Linked DNA regions of Macaca mulatta. The protein of the gene in region 1 binds, or shares a complex with, the protein of each later gene. Links are inferred from orthologs where the notes say so. Each region holds a gene or a part of one and is shown in the gene's direction. Other genes may lie near its edges.

Region 1 (6,078 bases):
TTAGCCAGGCATGGTGGTGGGCACTGTCTGAGGTCAGGAGTTCAAGATCAGCCTGGCTAAAATTGAAACCCCATCTCTACTAAAAATACAAAAATTAGCTGGGCATGGTAGTGCACGACTGTAGTCCCAGCTACTCAAGAGGCTGAGTCAGGAAAATTGCTTCAACCAGGGAGGCAGAGGGTGCATTGAGCACCCTCATTGCTCAGGTGGTGGGTGCACCAAAACCTCAGAAATCACCACTAAAGAACTTTTCCATGCAACCAAACACCACCTGTTCCCTCAAAACTATTGAAATAAAAATAAAAATAAAAATGTAAAAACAAAAGGGTATCAAAGCTAAGAAAATCAGACTGTAAAATGACAACAATAAAAGCACTATATAGTACATTGGTTAAGGCAGAGCTTAGGGGAAAATTCATATACATAAATACATATAGTAATAAATAAAAATATGAATAAAAATAAACATCAGTGGTAGAAATTAGAAAGAGAACAGCATATAAGCCTAAACACAGAAGAAGGGGCGGGGCAGGGTAGCTCACGCCTATAATTGCAGCACTTTGGGAGGCTGAGGCAGGAGGATTGCTTGAAGCCAAGAGTTTGAGACCAGCCTGGGCAACAAAGCAAGACCCTGTTTCTAAAGAAAAAAAAAAGCAAGAATCAGAAAACAGAAAAATATTAGAAACAACAAATATCAATGCAACAACAAATAATAAAAGATAAACTATAGCTAGCTAATAGAGGAAACTGGATGGCTGAGGAAGGATGTGGATAGGAGATTTACTTTAGAAACTCATTTATTATTAAATATTTCAGACATACCAGAAGGTACAAACAATAATGTAAGGCATGCTTGTGAAATGAACACTAACCTAAATAATAAAACATTACCAAGGCATGTGAAGCCTTTCTGTTCTTCTCCATTACATCTCCCTCCAGTTCACCACTACCTTGAAATTTTAGTCATTCCAATGCATGACTTTATAATTTCATGACATATGTACACTCCTAAACATTTATATTCTTTCCCACGTTAATTATATAAATGTTATTTTACATTATATATTTTTTATTTCCTTTTCTAAGAGATGGGTGTCCCCACTGGCTGCCAACTCCTGGGCTTAAGAGATTCTCCTGTCTCAGCTTCCCCGAGAAGTTGGGACCACAGGAACACGCCACCGCACCCGGCTTGCGATGAGGTGTGTTAAACTTGTTTTGTTTAGGTTTTTGTCTTTTTTGTTTTTCCTTTTTGTGAAGAACGGGGACTCGCTATATTGCCAGTTCTCCAGCTCCTGGGCCCAAGCGATCCTCCCGCCTCATCCTCCCTAAGTGCTGGGATTACAGGCGTGAGCCAACGCGCCCGCTAACCCTGTTTTTTGGGATTTTTCATGCTAGTAAATATAGTACTAGTTCATTCTTCGTACCTGCTATATACTATTATATAAATACGCCACTGTTTAGTTATTACTTCTGTCAATGGCACTTATGTTTCCTGTTCTTTTGCAACTTACGAAGTTTGCTATGAATATTCTTGTATTTGTAGATACGTGGGCGAGAATTTTCCTAGAAGAGGGGTAGGCACGTGTAATTTTACAAGCTATTTCCTAGTTGCTCTGCTAAGGGTTTGTGCCGTTTAGACTACCAAACCGCCGTGTTTATCTCGTTGCTCAAAAGCTCAACACCCGACACGAGAGGCTTACTTTTCATTCTGCCTCCTGTTTTATTGTTCCTGGTACTTCACGTTATACAATTCCTCGATTTTTATTTCAATTACTCCTCACAATCAGCCTGTGGGTTAAGTACGATTTTTCACATTTTACAGATAAGAAAACAAAGAATCTCTTCATTTGTTGAGACAACAGTTTTTCTTCTATTTAAATCAATGTCTTACTTTTCAACCTCGCTCACTGTTATCTTTTTGCTCCCAGCGCTGGAAAAAGTGGGACATCCCCTTCGGTGGGTGTACGGGGTTGGTATCCAAAGTTGGCAGCTTTCCCTCCCCTTCCTCCACCCTCTCCAAAACCCCGTCTCCGCGCTTCGCCACCCGGGGACAGCTGTGGCTCTGTAAAGCGGCGGAACGACAGGGTTTGAACCACTGGAGACCCCGTAGTTCCCATCTCGCTTCCCTCTGCCCCCCTCTGCGTCTGGGGGCGCCCGCCGCCGCGCTGGAAAAGGCGGGGCCGGCAACTTTGGGCAACAAGATGCGTTGGGATAGGCCGAGGTTTGCGGCGCTAGTGCTCTGGTCACCGGAAGTGCCGCTGTTTCTCCCTCTCCTGAGCCGCTGTGGCCGAGGCTGGAGCGCTGCCCCGGAAGTTCTCCCCCCTGTTCCCCGCCCGCGGCAAACATGGCGGTGGACTCGGCGATGGAGCTGCTATTTTTAGATACTTTTAAACACCCGAGCGCTGAGGTAAGGCTTGGCGACTTGATTCTGACGCTGCTTCTCGACTTGGGACCTTTACAAAAAAACCGTTGGGCGTCCTCGACTTTTCCCTCTGCAGATTACTTCTTTAATTTCTCGCTTACACACAGACACCCTCCCCCGAGCGGTGTGAGCATCGCGTCTGAGGGAGGGCTGCAGCAGCCTCTTCATTTCCTTGCTTTAACTTGGACCTTCCGTGTCTTTGGTCGAGTTGGCTTTTCTGCTTGCATGGCTTTATTTTTTGTTTTTCCTATCAGGTTTGGGCCGTGAGAAGGATCAGGGTTCTCAGGTTTACCTCAGATGGCATTTGGGAGGGGTCTTGATTTGACAGTAGTGTTTGACAGTACTGCCGGAGTCTGAGCAGCTTACGTTGGCTTCGTGGTTTCCGAATCACGATGTTTCTAAACCCTTTCTCTTTGGCTCCTTTTCTGTCGGGAGTTATGTTCCCCAGTTGTGACACTCATTCGGTTTAGGATTACGGTGCTCTCTAATTTGGCCTGAAACTTTAATACTTGTCTCTCGGAAAGATTTCACACATTAGGAATGAGATGCATTCACGGAGAATACTTGCGAAGAGGGGAGCATTGAGAGAAGTATAGTTAAACTCATCCGCAGACATGTCTTTTGAGGGCGGGGGCGGAATGTTGTGGAGTAATATTTCTGTACAAAATTATTTGAACGCCCCTGAATGTACAATTGACCCAGCAATATGTAAATTAAACATAGCTGGTTAACTAAAGATTCCTGAAAGCAGACCAAAAATGAACTCGAATGAAGTCTACGGAGAAATTGTTCCCCCCCCCCAAAAAAAAGTGGACTTCACATTTCTCTGTCTTAATGTAAGCTTAATCAATTTACAGAACTGTTCTTTCTTTGGATATTATTTTTTTCCTTTTATTTGTGTCAAGTGTGTTCTTGTATCAAGCTTTTTGAGGATACATATAATTTCTTTTCTTCTCAGTTGTATCTCCAGTGCCTCTGTTAGCAAAACGTAGGTGCTCAATAAATATTTGGATGGAAAATGTTTAAAATGTTCTTTCTTTTGCAAGATAGTAATGATAGTGGGTAGTGGTTGTATCATAATGCTTTACCTGGCAAAATAGAAAGTTGACAGCTGTGATCTAATTTAACGAATGGTTTATAGGTTTATAAAAGTCAAAATTTGGAGAACTTCGAGTTAGCATTTCTTACTGACAATTAATTTATGGTCTCACATTTCATGTGGGTCAGTGTCAGTTAGCACTGTTTGTTCAATGACTATATCTCTCTGACATTCCAGCCAAGATTTAGAAAACCCTCAATGGAGACAGTAGTTGGATCAGATCAAACTTATCATGTGTATAGAAATAGAGGACAGTTAAATTTGAAGGAGCCTGGCGCAGTGGCTCATGCCTGTAATCTCAGCGTTTTGGGAGGCGGAAGCAGAAGGATTGTTTGAGTCCAGGAGTTTGAGACCACTCTGGGCAACATAGTGGAACCCCCGTCTCTACAAAAGAAAATTAACTAGCTGTGGTGGCTTGATGCTGTTGCCCCAACTACTCAGAACGCTGAAGTGGAAGGATCACTTGAGCCTGGGAGGTCGAGGCTGCCGTGAGATAAGATCACACCACTGTGCTCCAGCCGGAGCAACAGAGTGAGACCCTGTTTCGAAAGAAAGAAAGAGAAAGAGAAAAAAAAGAGAAAGAGGCATATGATGAATTAGTTTAGTACTATTCTAGTTTAGGAAAATTGGCCTTCATTAGTTTATCATATATTTAATCTATTCTTTTATTCATTCTTAGGTAAACATTGAGTACCTTGAGCGCATAGGGCAGATGGTAAATACCTTCTTCTGGGGTGATTGGGGAAGGCTTAGTAGAGATCACATTTGAATCAAGTCTTGAAGGAGGAAGTAGGGGTTTGTGGGTGATATGAAATATTGAAATGTTTGTTTTCAAGAAGTTATAACCCAGTGTTGGAGATTAGATCCACAAAATTGTGATTTGAGTTAGAATGTGATGATCGCATAAAGAAACACAGTGTGAATTCATTGGGGTTTATCATCTTTGTTTACAAAATGCCCATCAGTAGCTGACATATTAGAACTAGCTGTCTTTGTGGGTATAAATAAAGGATACATGATTTCAGAGGAGGCAGAGATAACTTTTCATTTGAGAGTATCAGGAAAGACTTCATCAAGGTGTTTGGCTTATGAACTTGGTCTTTGGTGAAAGGGGCAATATTTCACGGTTGTAGTTAGGAAAGGAGGGCATTCTACTGGAGTAGTCAGTCATCTGTTAGGATATGCTTGAAGTAGCAGTGTGAAGTGGCACCCAAGGCAGTTCAGAGACAGATCATGGAGCTCCTTGAATGCTCAACAAAAAATTATGGACTTTAGGCCAGGCGCGGTGGCTCAAGCTTGTAATCCTAGCACTTTGGGAGGCTGAGGCGGGTGGATTGCCTGATGTCAGGAGTTTGAGACCAGCCTGGGTAACACGGTGATACCCGTCTCTACTAAAATACAAAAAATTAGCCGGGCATGGCGGTGTGCGTCTGTAGTCCCAGCTACTCAGGAGGCTGAGGCAGGAGAATTGCTAGAACCCGGGAGATGGAGGTTGCTGTGAGCCAAGATCGCGCCACTGCACTCCAGCCTGCACGACAGAGCAAGACTCTGTCTCTTAAAAAAAAAAAAAAAAAAAAAGGACTTTTTTTTGTAGGAAATGGGTAGTTTTTGAGCAGGCAAATCATACAATTAGTAAGATACATTGGGTAGATTACTTGATCAATAATGCTTAAAATGGTTCAGAGAAAATAGACGTAAGGTGACAAAATCAGGGAGAAAAAGTGAGATGTTATGAAAACCTGAGTTAGCCAATGGGCAGCAATCATTGTTTAACATTTATTGAATGCCTAATTTGTGCCAGACACAGTGGGCTTTGATAACTTAAGTAAATCATCTCTGGTCCTTCCATCAGTTTTTCTTCTTTTTTTTTTTTTTTTGAGACTAGGTCTTGCTCTGTCACCCAAACTGGAGTGCAGTGCTGCGATCACGGCTTACTGCAATTTCTGCCACCGGGGCTCAATCGATCCTTCCATCTCTGCCTCCCGAGTAGCTGGGACTACAGTTGTGCACCAACACGCCTGGCTAATTTTTTAGTTTTTTTGTGGAGGTGGTGTTTTGCCATGTTGCCCAGGCTGGTCTTGAATTCCTGAGCTCAAGCGATTCTCCCACCTCAGCCTCCCAAAGTGCAAAGATTACAGGCGTGAGCCACTGCAGGGCCCACGCTGAGTTTTCAAAGGTAGTCATCTATATTTTGTAGATAAGGAAACTGAGCTTGAGAGATTAGGTGACTTTACTAAAATAACATAGCTAGATTAAGATCCACCATCACACATTTTTCTGGCTCTAAATCAGTGCTATGCTATGTCCCAGTGGAACTACATAGGAGAGGATTTATACATCTTTTGGATATATACAGATTTCGAGTATAGAATTGACAGGATGGCAACTGATTGTGTGAAGGAGATAGGGTAGTTAAAAATGGTAGAATTCTAGTTTTAGAGACAGGAGAACTAGTGGGACTAATGATGGTAAGAGTGTGGAAGTGAGTTTGATGGGAATGGGATAATTAGCCAGATTACTTTGCCCCATAGGAAGCTGAGAATCTGTTTAACAATTA
Region 2 (6,106 bases), on another chromosome or scaffold:
CAACTTGGATGCATCTCCAGAGAATCATGCCAAGTGTAAAAAGATAAGCCCTAAAGATTACATACTGTATTATTCCATTTCTACAGTATTTTTGAAATGACAAAATTACAAAATGGAGAACAGATAAGTGGTTGTTATGGGTAAAGGAGAGGGTGGCAGCAGGAGGGAAATGACTGTGGCTATAAAAGGGCAACATGAGGAACACTTGTGGTGATGGAAGTGATGTATCAATGTCAGCATCTTGGTTATGATATTGGACTATAGTTTTGCAAGATGTTGTCACTGGGGAAACTGGACAAAGGCTACATGGGATCTTTCTGTGTTATTTCTTACAAGTGTATATAATTATATCAAAATAAAAAATTTTCCTTTTTAAAAAAGTTAACCATTTGACATGGCTCTAATATATATATCTCTATCTATCTATCTATCTATCTATCTATCTATCTATCTATCTATAAAATAACATCTTTCACTTAAATGCACCATAGAATTTGTTGTGGAAGTTTTGGCTAGGGCATGAGGTGAGTAAATGCAGTTTTTGCAAGTGAGGATTGAGACCACCTGGTTGTAGGACTTGTAGAAGAAGTAGAGCATAACTGGCTGTAAGGCTTTAAATTACATTACCCACTTTGAAAGTCTACACTGGTTGAGAATTAGAGGCTGGAAGAGAAAATTTTTGCAAATTATTGTTAGGCTGCGATACCACCCCTCTCCTCAAGGAAGTCCCTTTTCACCCTAATTCAAGAGAGGAAGCTTAAAGAGACCACTAGAAGAACTTAAGGTCTCGGGGAGATCGATGTGTTGACCTCTCATTTGGAAAATCCAAAGAGCTAGACCTGGCTAGTTCCTCAGAGGGCAGAGACACAAAAGGGTAATGTGAATGTTTGGAGGAGCCGTTTGATTTCCTGCCTGTGCCTCCTGTGGGCAGAGTCTCACAGGAAGCCATCTAACAAAGAAGGCTGGGAAATGTAGTTTGTGGACTCCCTGCCTAGCCATCATCTCGAAGCAGAGGGTAGGAGAGTATGGGGTTCAAAGATTACAGGCAAGTAACCTGCATAGCACCTTTTCAGGGAAAAAAAAAAAAAAAAAAAATCCTCCATTAGACAGTAAACTCCATAAAGAAAAACTGACTTCTTTGGTTTTTAATCTTTGACGGACTTTATAGACTCTAGGGCCTATCACAGTGCTTGCCATATAAAATGCTCAATCAATATCAACAGATATTTAAGTGAATAAATGCCTGTTCTTACCATTGGTAAAATTTAAATCAGTATTCAACTTAAATGATTGCCAGGTAATACAACCGATTTTTAAAGAAATTAACGCATATGGACATAAATGTTTTACAGTATCCAAATAGTGCTGACATTACTCAAGGAATTGTTTAGGACTACTCGTTCAAAATTGCCTTTCAGACCTAGTTCTTGAGAAATACATTATAATTATTTCTATAAAAGTGGGCATGACTAGTAGAATCTAGTTCTACTGGTTTTGATCTGGATGACTTAATATTATTTCTGAAAATTAAATCCACTCTCAAAGAACAGACTTGTTACTAATTTTGGTAAGTACTTACCACGATTTCCAATTAAACTTGAGGCAACATGATGTCTTAGTCCACTTCCGCCATTGTAAGTTTGAAATAAGATGGCAAATGTGGTGAATAATAATGGTAATAACTCAAATACGACTTTGGCCTTTGCTGCCTTCCTATGACGACAGAATCACCACCCTCCAGCCCTCACCCCTCACCCCAGCAATCCGAGTAATTTCAGGAAGCTATTCGTTTCCTTATCCTTAGGTTATTTTCAGTTAAGACAAATGTACAAGCACAAAAAGGAGTGCCTTAGCTTCTGACTCCTAGGGCATAAACCAAGACACACTTTACTATCACACACTCATTTCTCTAAAGGGAAGAAGCCATAAAATGTCTACTATAGTAAAATAGGAAACATTTCAAGGGACAGTAAGGTGTGGGTAAGAATGGGCAGATGTTGTGGCTGTTACCTGCGTGAAGGTAAATAAAATATTAACAATAATAAGCACTTCTACAGCGCTATGTGCCAGGTGCTGTTTACGCTTTCAATCACAGCTCTGTGAGGTAGACACTTACGACTCCCATTTTACAGATGAGAAAATTGAGGCTCACGAAGGTGTTTAACTAGCCAAGGCCACTTGGCTAAGAAGTGAGAGGCCAAGGTTCAATCCTAGGCAATCTGCCTTAAGTTCCTGTTCTGTTAAAAAATAATAATAATAATTAAAGGTATCTGGCAATTTTTTTAAACGTTAGGACTGTCATCTGTGGAATCAACTGAAAAGGGAATCAATACTTCAGAAACTGTGATACACCAAGGGAACCTGCTATCCCGGGGAAGAGAGAGAAAGGAGAAGTCAGCTGACTACTCCTTCAGACTAGCTCAGACCACCCCAGCCCGCGACGGCCCTGGACACCCCTGTAACGCAACAGATCCCTTACTGGGTCCCTTCCAAGTGGCGTCACATCGCAAGCGTCCAGAAGGAGGCGGGACTTCCGGGCCAAGCAAGCCATATCGGCCGCGCCGGAAGTCCCTACTGAGGAAAGCTTTGAGGATACTCTGTTCATAAGCTCACGGTGAATATAGCGTTCCACAGACTCGGAAGAAAGGTTGGGACAAGAGTTCAGTGGCGATTGACAAGTACTCGGGGTAGTGAAAAGTAGGAGTTGGAACATGGATAGCCGCTTGCAGGAGATCCGGGAGCGGCAGAAGTTACGGCGACAGCTCCTCGCGCAGCAGGTCCGCGGCCCTGGTGGCCCCTGTGGGAGGGATCGAGAATGCGAGTGCGCGGCCGCCTCCTCCCTCCACACCCCGCCTTTTTCTGTCCCCTCTCTACCTGCCGCTGTTAAGGCCTTTCTGGTCCTTCGATCCTGATCCCTGGTTCTCCCTTTGTAGTTCTCAATTTTCGTGGTGCCCCGAATGTTTTTCAAGTTCCTTCCGCGGTCTTTGTGGTGCTAAACCGAATGCCACGAATAGCCTTTAACCTTTGTGGAACGCCCACCGAGTGTCTGGCATGTTCACGCCACGATGAGTGTCTTGTTATTCCCTACATTTCTCTTCACTATTTAACTGGTCATCTATTTCTTACTTTTCCTCGTCGTCAGTCCCAAATCCTTGAAATTGTGGTTTCATTATGAAATATTTTTACAGTTTACAGTATTTTCTTTGACATCTTTCTGAAGACTACACTGGAAGTAGTCTGAGTGTAAATTTTATATTCTGCGTCTTATGTACAATATCCTTGTCACATCCACAGTTAATATTTGAAATCTTACTCTGTGTTAGTCACAATAATCTCCTGAAACAGGTAGTATTACCTTCACTTATCAAGTAATGAAATAGGCTCCATAGGTTAAGGAATTTTACTCCTGGTCGCTCACTTCTCGGCTGGGAAATAGAACCTAGGTTGTCTCCCCAAAGCTTATCTTCTAAACCATTGCCCTTCACTTCTTTCTTGTGCATGAGTAAGTTAACATTTGCTGATTAGTAGCAGAAAATACAGCTTGTGTACAGTTCTACTTAAAATCGAGGCTGTATTTTCAATTCTACTATTCATATCAGTAAAAGTGGTAGGAGAAATGCTCATAGACTGTAATTAGTCATCTTGCTGTTATTTTTCAGTAAACTTGGTTTTAGTAAATGGACTTCTGAAATCTGATGAACACATTTGTGGTATACTGCTGAAACTGTGGGAACTTGGAATCAGATTTATTCCTTATCCCGCTGGCATTACGATCTTGGACAAATCAAATATCCTTTCTAAGTCTTCTTTTCCCTAACTTCTTTTATCGTATTATCTTCAATAATATTCAGTAGCTCTTTGTTGCTACCACAGATGTTTTACTCCTTAATATGGAATTCAGATTTCTATTTCACTCAAGATACATTCATAGGACAATTATTTGTTGAGTGTTTTACACTCAACAAATCCCAGGGGCTCCAGCTTTTAAAGTTTTTTTATGAATTGGTTGCACTCTACTTAGCCTTGTAACCATTATTTGTTTGTATTTTGCAAAATTTTCCCAACTGCCAAACAAAATTTATGTTGCCGTTTTAAGGTAGTGAAGTTCAGCATTGTGTCCATAAATAGTAAGACTTAGCTTGAGTAAAACTGGATCGATTTTTATTAGAGCATAGCATAAATAAGTTACATTATATAAGCTGATGCCTACAAAATGTTTAACATGGTACCCACAACCCTGTGCAAACACAGTCTTACCTGCTTTTTTTGGTTATTGCTACTGCAGGTTGAATATCTCTTAATCTGAAATGCTTGGGCCAGAAGTGTTTTGGATTTCAGACTTTTTTCAGGATTTGGAATATTTGCATATTACTGGTTGAACATGCCAAATATCAAAAGTTTTCAAAATATGAATGCTTCAGTGACCATTTGCTTTGAATGTCATGTCAGTACTCAAAAAGTTCCAGATTCTGGAGCATTTTGGATTTTGGATTTTCGGATTTGGAATGCTCAATCTATATTAATTCGTGTATATTACTTTACAGGAATTTGGCTAAAGTGTCTTATTTTCAAATACAGATGGTTCCAGACTTACTATGATTTGACTTAACAATCAACTTTATGATGGTTTGAAAGTGATAGGCATCCAGGCTGCTCAATGACTTATGATGGAATTATGTCCTGATAAGCCCATCATAAGTGGAAAATACTATAAGTTGAAAACGCACTTACCACGTTTATTTTGAAACAGATTTACTTTCAACTTACAATGGGTTTATCAGGACATAACCTCATAAATCAAGGAGCATCCGTATAACTGAAAGCATAAAATGTTTGCCAGCTGTCAAACTCATTCTTAATTAATGCAGTTTTTTTTCCAGGGTTTTTCCAGTTTGTCTTGCAGGCTGATTAATTCTTTGTTATTGTGTGTATGTGAATTAAGGTGTTTTTGTTTTTTAAGTATTTAATATATTAAATGCTGCTACAAATGTCTAGAAAGGCTGTCCAATGCATTGTAATCTAATTTCTGATTTTGCCTTTTCTCAGCTGGGAGCTGAAAGTGCCGACAGCATTGGTGCCGTGTTAAATAGCAAAGATGAGCAGAGAGAAATTGCTGAAACAAGAGAGACTTGCAGGTCAGTCAAATAATTCTTTTTTTTGTGTGTGAGACAGGGTTTCACTCTGTTACCTAGGCTGGATAGGTTGGAGTGCAGTAGAGTGATCATGGCTCTCTGCAGCCTTGACTTCCTGAGCTCAAGTGGTACGCCTGCCTTGGCCTCCCAATGTGCTGAGATTATAGGTATGAGCCACTGTGCCGAGGCAGGTGGATCATTTGAGCCCAGGAAGTCAGGAGTTCGAGGCCAGTCTGGTTAACATGGTGAAACCCCGTCTCTACTAAAAATACAAAAATTAGCCGAACGTGGTGGCGGGCGCCTGTAATCCCAGCTACTTGGGAGGTTGAGGCAGGAGAATTGCTTAAAACCGGCAAGCGGAGGCTGTAGTGAGCTAAACCAAGATTGTGCCACTGCACTCCAGCCTGGGAGACAAGAGTGAGACTCCATCTCAAAAAGAAAAAAAAACTGTGAAAGAATTACTGTTTTAATAAACAGATACCCCTAGGTAGGTGTGCAGTGTATTGAGAAAAGCATCAAAATAATGATTTTAGACACAATGGTTTTTATTGTCAGTTCATTAATTATGAAATATTTATTTTCTGAGGATAGTAAGTTCCCATTTGTAAAGTACTTAGAAAATGGAATGTTAGACTAAAAATTAGCATATATACTATAAATAAATAAGTATATTTAAGTTTTTTTTTTTTTTTTTTTTTTTTTTGGAGACGTAGTCTTTCTCTGTCACCAGGCTTGAGTGCAGTGATGCGATCTTGGCTTACTGCAACCTCTGCCTCCAGGGTTGAAGTGATTCTCTTGCCTCAGCCTCCCAAGTAGCTGGGACTACAGGTGCGCGCCACCACTTCCAGCTAATTTTTGTATTTTTAGTAAACATGGGATTTCATCATGTTGGCCAGGCTGGTCTCGATCTCTTGACTTTGTGATCCGCCTGTCTCGGCCTCCCAAAGTGCTGGGATTGCAGGCATGAGCCACCA
Region 3 (5,831 bases), on another chromosome or scaffold:
TGGTGCATGTTCACACAGACTGGGTGTCTGCTTGTCTCCCTGAATTATTTCTCTCAAATCTTGTGCTCCCTCAACCCCTATCATGAGGTCTGGAAAACTACTGATTTGGTCATTATCTTTTTCTTTGATCAGTGAGTCACCTTAGCAGGTCAATTTAGGTTAAAAAGTCACTCTAGTGCCTGGTTTATTATCTCAATTGACTGTTATATTGAGTAATTAGATAATGGCTTAACTTCAATTTCCATTTGTGGTCTATTAATATAACCCTGAAACATTTAAACCCAGGTAAAACTTTTTCTTTTATTTCATGCTTTTACAAATAATATGTTCATGTATTTTTTATCCTCCAGCATCCAGATTTTTATCTTTAAATACCATTTCCCACTAAAAGGAACCAGAGCTCTCTGGAGAAATGGCTGACTCCACAACTGGGGCAGGAAATGTATATCAGGTAAGTCTGCAGAAAACAATGGAGAAAGGAAGAGTGGGAAGAGTGATGCAGATGAAACAAGATTGACATGATTTGATAATTGTTGAAGTAGGGTGTTGGGTACACGTGGGAGTTCTTTATTCTTTTATGTATTTTAAACTTTTTCCATAAAAATAGTTTAAGGAAAGTTAAAAATGTTATTTTCTAAACTGAAGGAGTAATAGCGCGCCCTTTGTAGAAACAAAAGATTTCTACAAAGAAAAGTGAAGTCTCCCTCCGACTCCAGATCCTTACACCCCTCCTCAGGGCAATCCTAGGAACAATTTCCCACGTAGTTGTCAAGAAAGTTTCCACGAAAATATTTTTAAATGTACATACTCATAAAATACAAATATTTTTAAAACCACAAATGGTAGCGTATTATACACGTTATTTTATGCCTTCTGAAGTTTTATTTCCTATTTTAATACAATGAATATGTCTACACATTACAATATTGTGGATTTTTATGCTTTACAATTGAGCTTCTTCCTTCAAGTTTCTTTGATTTATTCAAGAGATAAAAGGCCTACAGCTTCATATTCCTCAGGATTATTTACAAAAAGAAGGATGGCTCAGCCAAGGCTAAATTTAGGTTACAGTTCCTAATATTAACAGTTTTCAAGTTTAGGTTTCAGCTTTTGGGACATTATTGTTATCCTGAAAAATGTCATGTTTAAAAACACCTCACACCTCTACTATAGATTGGATCTTGGGAAATAGGGTTGAGGACGGGATCAATATAACCTCCGCCCCGGCGCATACCCGGGAGAGCTGCAGACGGTCTAAAGGATGTGGTGACCTCAGCGCTGCGTCCCTGCAGCAACCGGCGAGTGCTGGGGCACAGGCCATATCCCCCTAAGCTCGGCATCGCCTGCACCTCTCACAGGTGCTCTGTCCGCCACAGTAACGCTCTATGGAAATTAAAGTTGTAAGGCGAACGACAGAAGGAGCCAAACGAAGTGGATCCGGAGCGGCCACAAGGTGCCTGTGCTGCTGGCTTTTAACACACAAAAAGAGGAGTGCCAAGGAATACAAGAAGCCACAGGGGGAATAAAAAGCGACATATCTGCATGGAGCCTAAATTTCGCTCGATGATTTTCAGGGAAGAAGCATTACATATTAAAAACAAACATTGCTATTTTACGGGAATACCGGATTTAAAAATCCACACAGATTCGCAACATAAAACAGGCAGCCCAAAGACACGTCCGCGGTGTCCTGACAGTTCCGGCTCCGCCCGCGGGCCACGAGGCGGGGATCGACGGTCACTCCCCTCGGTTGCCCAGAGTACTTGGGCGGCAACGGGGAGCGCCGGGGGGAGACAAGCTCCTGGGCTAGGGCTGCGTCTCAGCCACCTTACTTAGCTCTCGAGGTCCCGCGTGTTACGTGTTAGCACCGCCCCGGGGCGTCAGCGTGACCCGGGGCTGCAGGAACCGTGAACTCCCTGCCCCGCGGGCCCAGGTGACCGCGGGCATCGCTATCCCGCGCGCGGGGGGCGGGGCTTCCCCCGGCTGTACACTCAGCTACCACAGCGACATAAGATGGTGTCCGCTAGGCGTCCCAGGACGGCTTCCTAAGGGACTGGAGGGCCCCGACAGCCGGAGAGTCTGCCCCGCCCCTTGGCCGGCACAGGTAGGACGGCGGGGAGCTCAGAAGTTTCGAACTCCAAGGGCCGAAGCACAGCCAAATACCCCACGGAACTTAACAAATGTTTGTGGGGAGAACGCCAAAAACGCGGGGAGGCGGGGCTGGCGCACAGTCACCCTCTCGCGACATCTAAGTGACGTCGCATAGCAAGCACGTGTTCTAGTCTTTCACCTTCAGTCAGCCTCCTCCGTTATATGGGCCTACCCCTTTAAGCGAGTGATGGACAGTTACTTCAGCCTATCAACTTCCTTGCAGACATCCAATCAGATTTAAACTTCTTTTAGCCGCCGGAGGAGTTGGAAAAAGGGGGTCGAAAGAGGGAGCTCACCGTCTCTCGCGATATCGCTGTGAGCCTGCCTCTCGAAAAAACGCCGAAACTTGGCCCCACCTCCCAAATAGTGGTTTAAAGGACGGGTTTATAAGCCAATGAAAGGGATGAGGAGGCGGGGTTGCTGCTTTCACTGAGCAAGAAGTACCGTTACAGGGCAGACTTTTTGTCCAATCAACACAGCTACACTTTGGGTCACGTGACCGCAGAGTGCGAGGGGCGGAGCTACAGCCTGGCGCGAGGAACCGTTAAGATAGACAACAAATGTAACCAATGAGGTACTCTGACTAGGGGGTTGGGAACCCAATAACAGTGGTTGGGCGGGCGCCTTCCTGGAGCGCGGGGAGATGTAAAGATAGACAAATAATTTTCCCAATGAGACTGTAGAAGAGAGAGCTAATTGGCCAATGAGGACTGCGGGGCGGGACCCTGTGCCGCGGCGGAGTCCAAGATGGCGGCGTGCGGTTCCGCTGTGTGAAACGAGCGCGGGGCGGCGGGTTGATCAGCTCCGCGGAGACGACCTCCGAGGACCCGCAACAATGAAGGGAAAAGAGCGCTCGCCAGTCAAGGCCAAACGCTCCCGTGGTGGTGAGGACTCGACTTCCCGCGGAGAGCGGAGCAAGAAGTTAGGGGGCTCTGGTGGCAGCAATGGGAGCAGCAGCGGAAAGACCGATAGCGGCGGCGGGTCGCGGCGGAGTCTCCACCTGGACAAGTCCAGCAGTCGAGGTGGCAGCCGCGAGTATGACACCGGTGGGGGCAGCTCCAGTAGCCGCTTGCATAGTTATAGCTCCCCGAGCACCAAAAATTCTTCGGGCGGGGGCGAGTCGCGCAGCAGCTCCCGGGGTGGAGGCGGGGAGTCACGTTCCTCTGGGGCCGCCTCCTCAGCTCCCGGCGGCGGGGACGGCGCGGAATACAAGACTCTGAAGATAAGCGAGTTGGGGTCCCAGCTTAGTGACGAAGCGGTGGAGGACGGCCTGTTTCATGAGTTCAAACGTTTCGGTGATGTAAGTGTCAAAATCAGTCATCTGTCGGGTTCTGGCAGCGGGGATGAGCGGGTAGCCTTTGTGAACTTCCGGCGGCCAGAGGACGCGCGGGCGGCCAAGCATGCCAGAGGCCGCCTGGTGCTCTATGACCGGCCTCTGAAGATAGAAGCTGTGTATGTGAGCCGGCGCCGCAGCCGCTCCCCTTTAGACAAAGATACTTATCCTCCTTCAGCCAGCGTGGTCGGGGCCTCTGTAGGTGGTCACCGGCACCCCCCTGGAGGTGGTGGAGGCCAGAGATCACTTTCCCCTGGTGGCGCTGCTTTAGGATACAGAGACTACCGGCTGCAGCAGTTGGCTCTTGGCCGCCTGCCCCCTCCACCTCCGCCACCATTGCCTCGAGAGCTGGAGAGAGAAAGAGACTACCCGTTCTATGAGAGAGTGCGCCCTGCATACAGTCTTGAGCCAAGGGTGGGAGCTGGAGCAGGTGCTGCTCCTTTCAGAGAAGTGGATGAGATTTCACCCGAGGATGATCAGCGAGCTAACCGGACGCTTTTCTTGGGCAACCTAGACATCACTGTAACGGAGAATGATCTAAGAAGGGCGTTTGATCGCTTTGGAGTCATCACAGAAGTAGATATCAAGAGGCCTTCTCGCGGCCAGACTAGTACTTACGGCTTTCTCAAATTTGAGAACTTAGATATGTCTCACCGGGCCAAATTAGCAATGTCCGGCAAAATTATAATTCGGAATCCTATCAAAATTGGTTATGGTAAAGCTACACCTACCACCCGCCTCTGGGTGGGAGGCCTGGGACCTTGGGTTCCTCTTGCTGCCCTGGCACGAGAATTTGATCGATTTGGCACCATACGCACCATAGACTACCGAAAAGGTGATAGTTGGGCATATATCCAGTATGAAAGCCTGGATGCAGCGCATGCTGCCTGGACCCATATGCGGGGCTTCCCACTTGGTGGCCCAGATCGACGCCTTAGAGTAGACTTTGCCGACACCGAACATCGTTACCAGCAGCAGTATCTGCAGCCTCTGCCCTTGACTCATTATGAGCTGGTGACAGATGCTTTTGGACATCGGGCACCTGACCCTTTGAGGGGTGCTCGGGATAGGACACCACCCTTACTATACAGAGATCGTGATAGGGACCTTTATCCTGACTCTGATTGGGTGCCACCCCCACCCCCAGTCCGAGAACGCAGCACTCGGACTGCAGCTACTTCTGTGCCTGCTTACGAGCCACTGGATAGCCTTGATCGCAGGCGGGATGGTTGGTCCTTGGACCGGGACAGAGGTGATCGAGATCTGCCCAGCAGCAGAGACCAGCCTAGGAAGCGAAGGCTGCCTGAGGAGAGTGGAGGACGTCATCTGGATAGGTCTCCTGAGAGTGACCGCCCACGAAAACGTCACTGCGCTCCTTCTCCTGACCGCAGTCCAGAATTGAGCAGTAGCCGGGATCGTTACAACAGCGACAATGATCGATCTTCCCGTCTTCTCTTGGAAAGGCCCTCTCCAATCAGAGACAGACGAGGTAGTTTGGAGAAGAGCCAGGGTGACAAGCGAGACCGTAAAAACTCTGCATCAGCTGAACGAGATAGGAAGCACCGGACAACTGCTCCCACTGAGGGAAAAAGCCCTCTGAAAAAAGAAGACCGCTCTGATGGGAGTGCACCTAGCACCAGCACTGCTTCCTGCAAGCTGAAGTCCCCGTCCCAGAAACAGGATGGGGGGACAGCCCCTGCGGCAGCAGCCTCTCCCAAACTCTGTTTGGCCTGGCAGGGCATGCTTCTACTGAAGAACAGCAACTTTCCTTCCAACATGCATCTGTTGCAGGGTGACCTCCAAGTGGCTAGTAGTCTTCTTGTGGAGGGTTCAACTGGAGGCAAAGTGGCCCAGCTCAAGATCACTCAGCGTCTCCGTTTGGACCAGCCCAAGTTGGATGAAGTAACTCGACGCATCAAAGTAGCAGGGCCCAATGGTTATGCCATTCTTCTGGCTGTGCCTGGAAGTTCTGACAGCCGGTCTTCCTCTTCCTCAGCTGCATCAGACACTGCCACTTCTACTCAGAGGCCACTTAGGAACCTTGTGTCCTATTTAAAGCAAAAGCAGGCAGCCGGGGTGATCAGCCTCCCTGTGGGGGGCAACAAAGACAAGGAAAACACCGGGGTCCTTCATGCCTTCCCACCTTGTGAGTTCTCCCAGCAGTTCCTGGATTCCCCTGCCAAGGCACTGGCCAAATCTGAAGAAGATTACCTGGTCATGATCATTGTCCGTGGTGCGTCCTAAAGTCCATGTGTAACTTGTATTTACTACTTTGACATGGTTCCTGTTTTGTGATGTGTAATGGGATACAGCATCAGATGCAATTTTCTTTTTAGTTGTTAGTTGT

The links.
Region 2: VIRMA (region 1) and METTL14 share a complex: the UniProt entries of both Homo sapiens proteins name them as parts of the WMM complex. The link is inferred for Macaca mulatta from reciprocal best matches to the Homo sapiens genes VIRMA and METTL14.
Region 3: VIRMA (region 1) and RBM15 share a complex: the UniProt entries of both Homo sapiens proteins name them as parts of the WMM complex. The link is inferred for Macaca mulatta from reciprocal best matches to the Homo sapiens genes VIRMA and RBM15.

What each region holds. Positions count from the first base shown.
Region 1 is NC_133413.1:104,942,231-104,948,308, reverse strand, and holds the start of VIRMA (protein virilizer homolog), read left to right. Parts: upstream 1-2,274; 5' UTR 2,275-2,344; coding exon 2,345-2,407; intron 2,408-6,078. UniProt on the Homo sapiens protein: Associated component of the WMM complex, a complex that mediates N6-methyladenosine (m6A) methylation of RNAs, a modification that plays a role in the efficiency of mRNA splicing and RNA processing.
Region 2 is NC_133410.1:127,703,479-127,709,584, forward strand, and holds the start of METTL14 (N(6)-adenosine-methyltransferase non-catalytic subunit METTL14), read left to right. Parts: upstream 1-2,677; 5' UTR 2,678-2,711; coding exon 2,712-2,777; exon of another isoform or gene 2,778-2,797; intron 2,798-2,874; exon of another isoform or gene 2,875-3,003; intron 3,004-5,046; coding exon 5,047-5,135; intron 5,136-6,106. Other genes in the region: uncharacterized protein LOC144340831, read left to right, coding at 2,577-2,590. UniProt on the Homo sapiens protein: The METTL3-METTL14 heterodimer forms a N6-methyltransferase complex that methylates adenosine residues at the N(6) position of some mRNAs and regulates the circadian clock, differentiation of embryonic stem cells and cortical neurogenesis.
Region 3 is NC_133406.1:129,853,133-129,858,963, reverse strand, and holds the start of RBM15 (RNA-binding protein 15), read left to right. Parts: upstream 1-1,983; 5' UTR 1,984-2,854; coding exon 2,855-5,717; intron 5,718-5,831. UniProt on the Homo sapiens protein: RNA-binding protein that acts as a key regulator of N6-methyladenosine (m6A) methylation of RNAs, thereby regulating different processes, such as hematopoietic cell homeostasis, alternative splicing of mRNAs and X chromosome inactivation mediated by Xist RNA.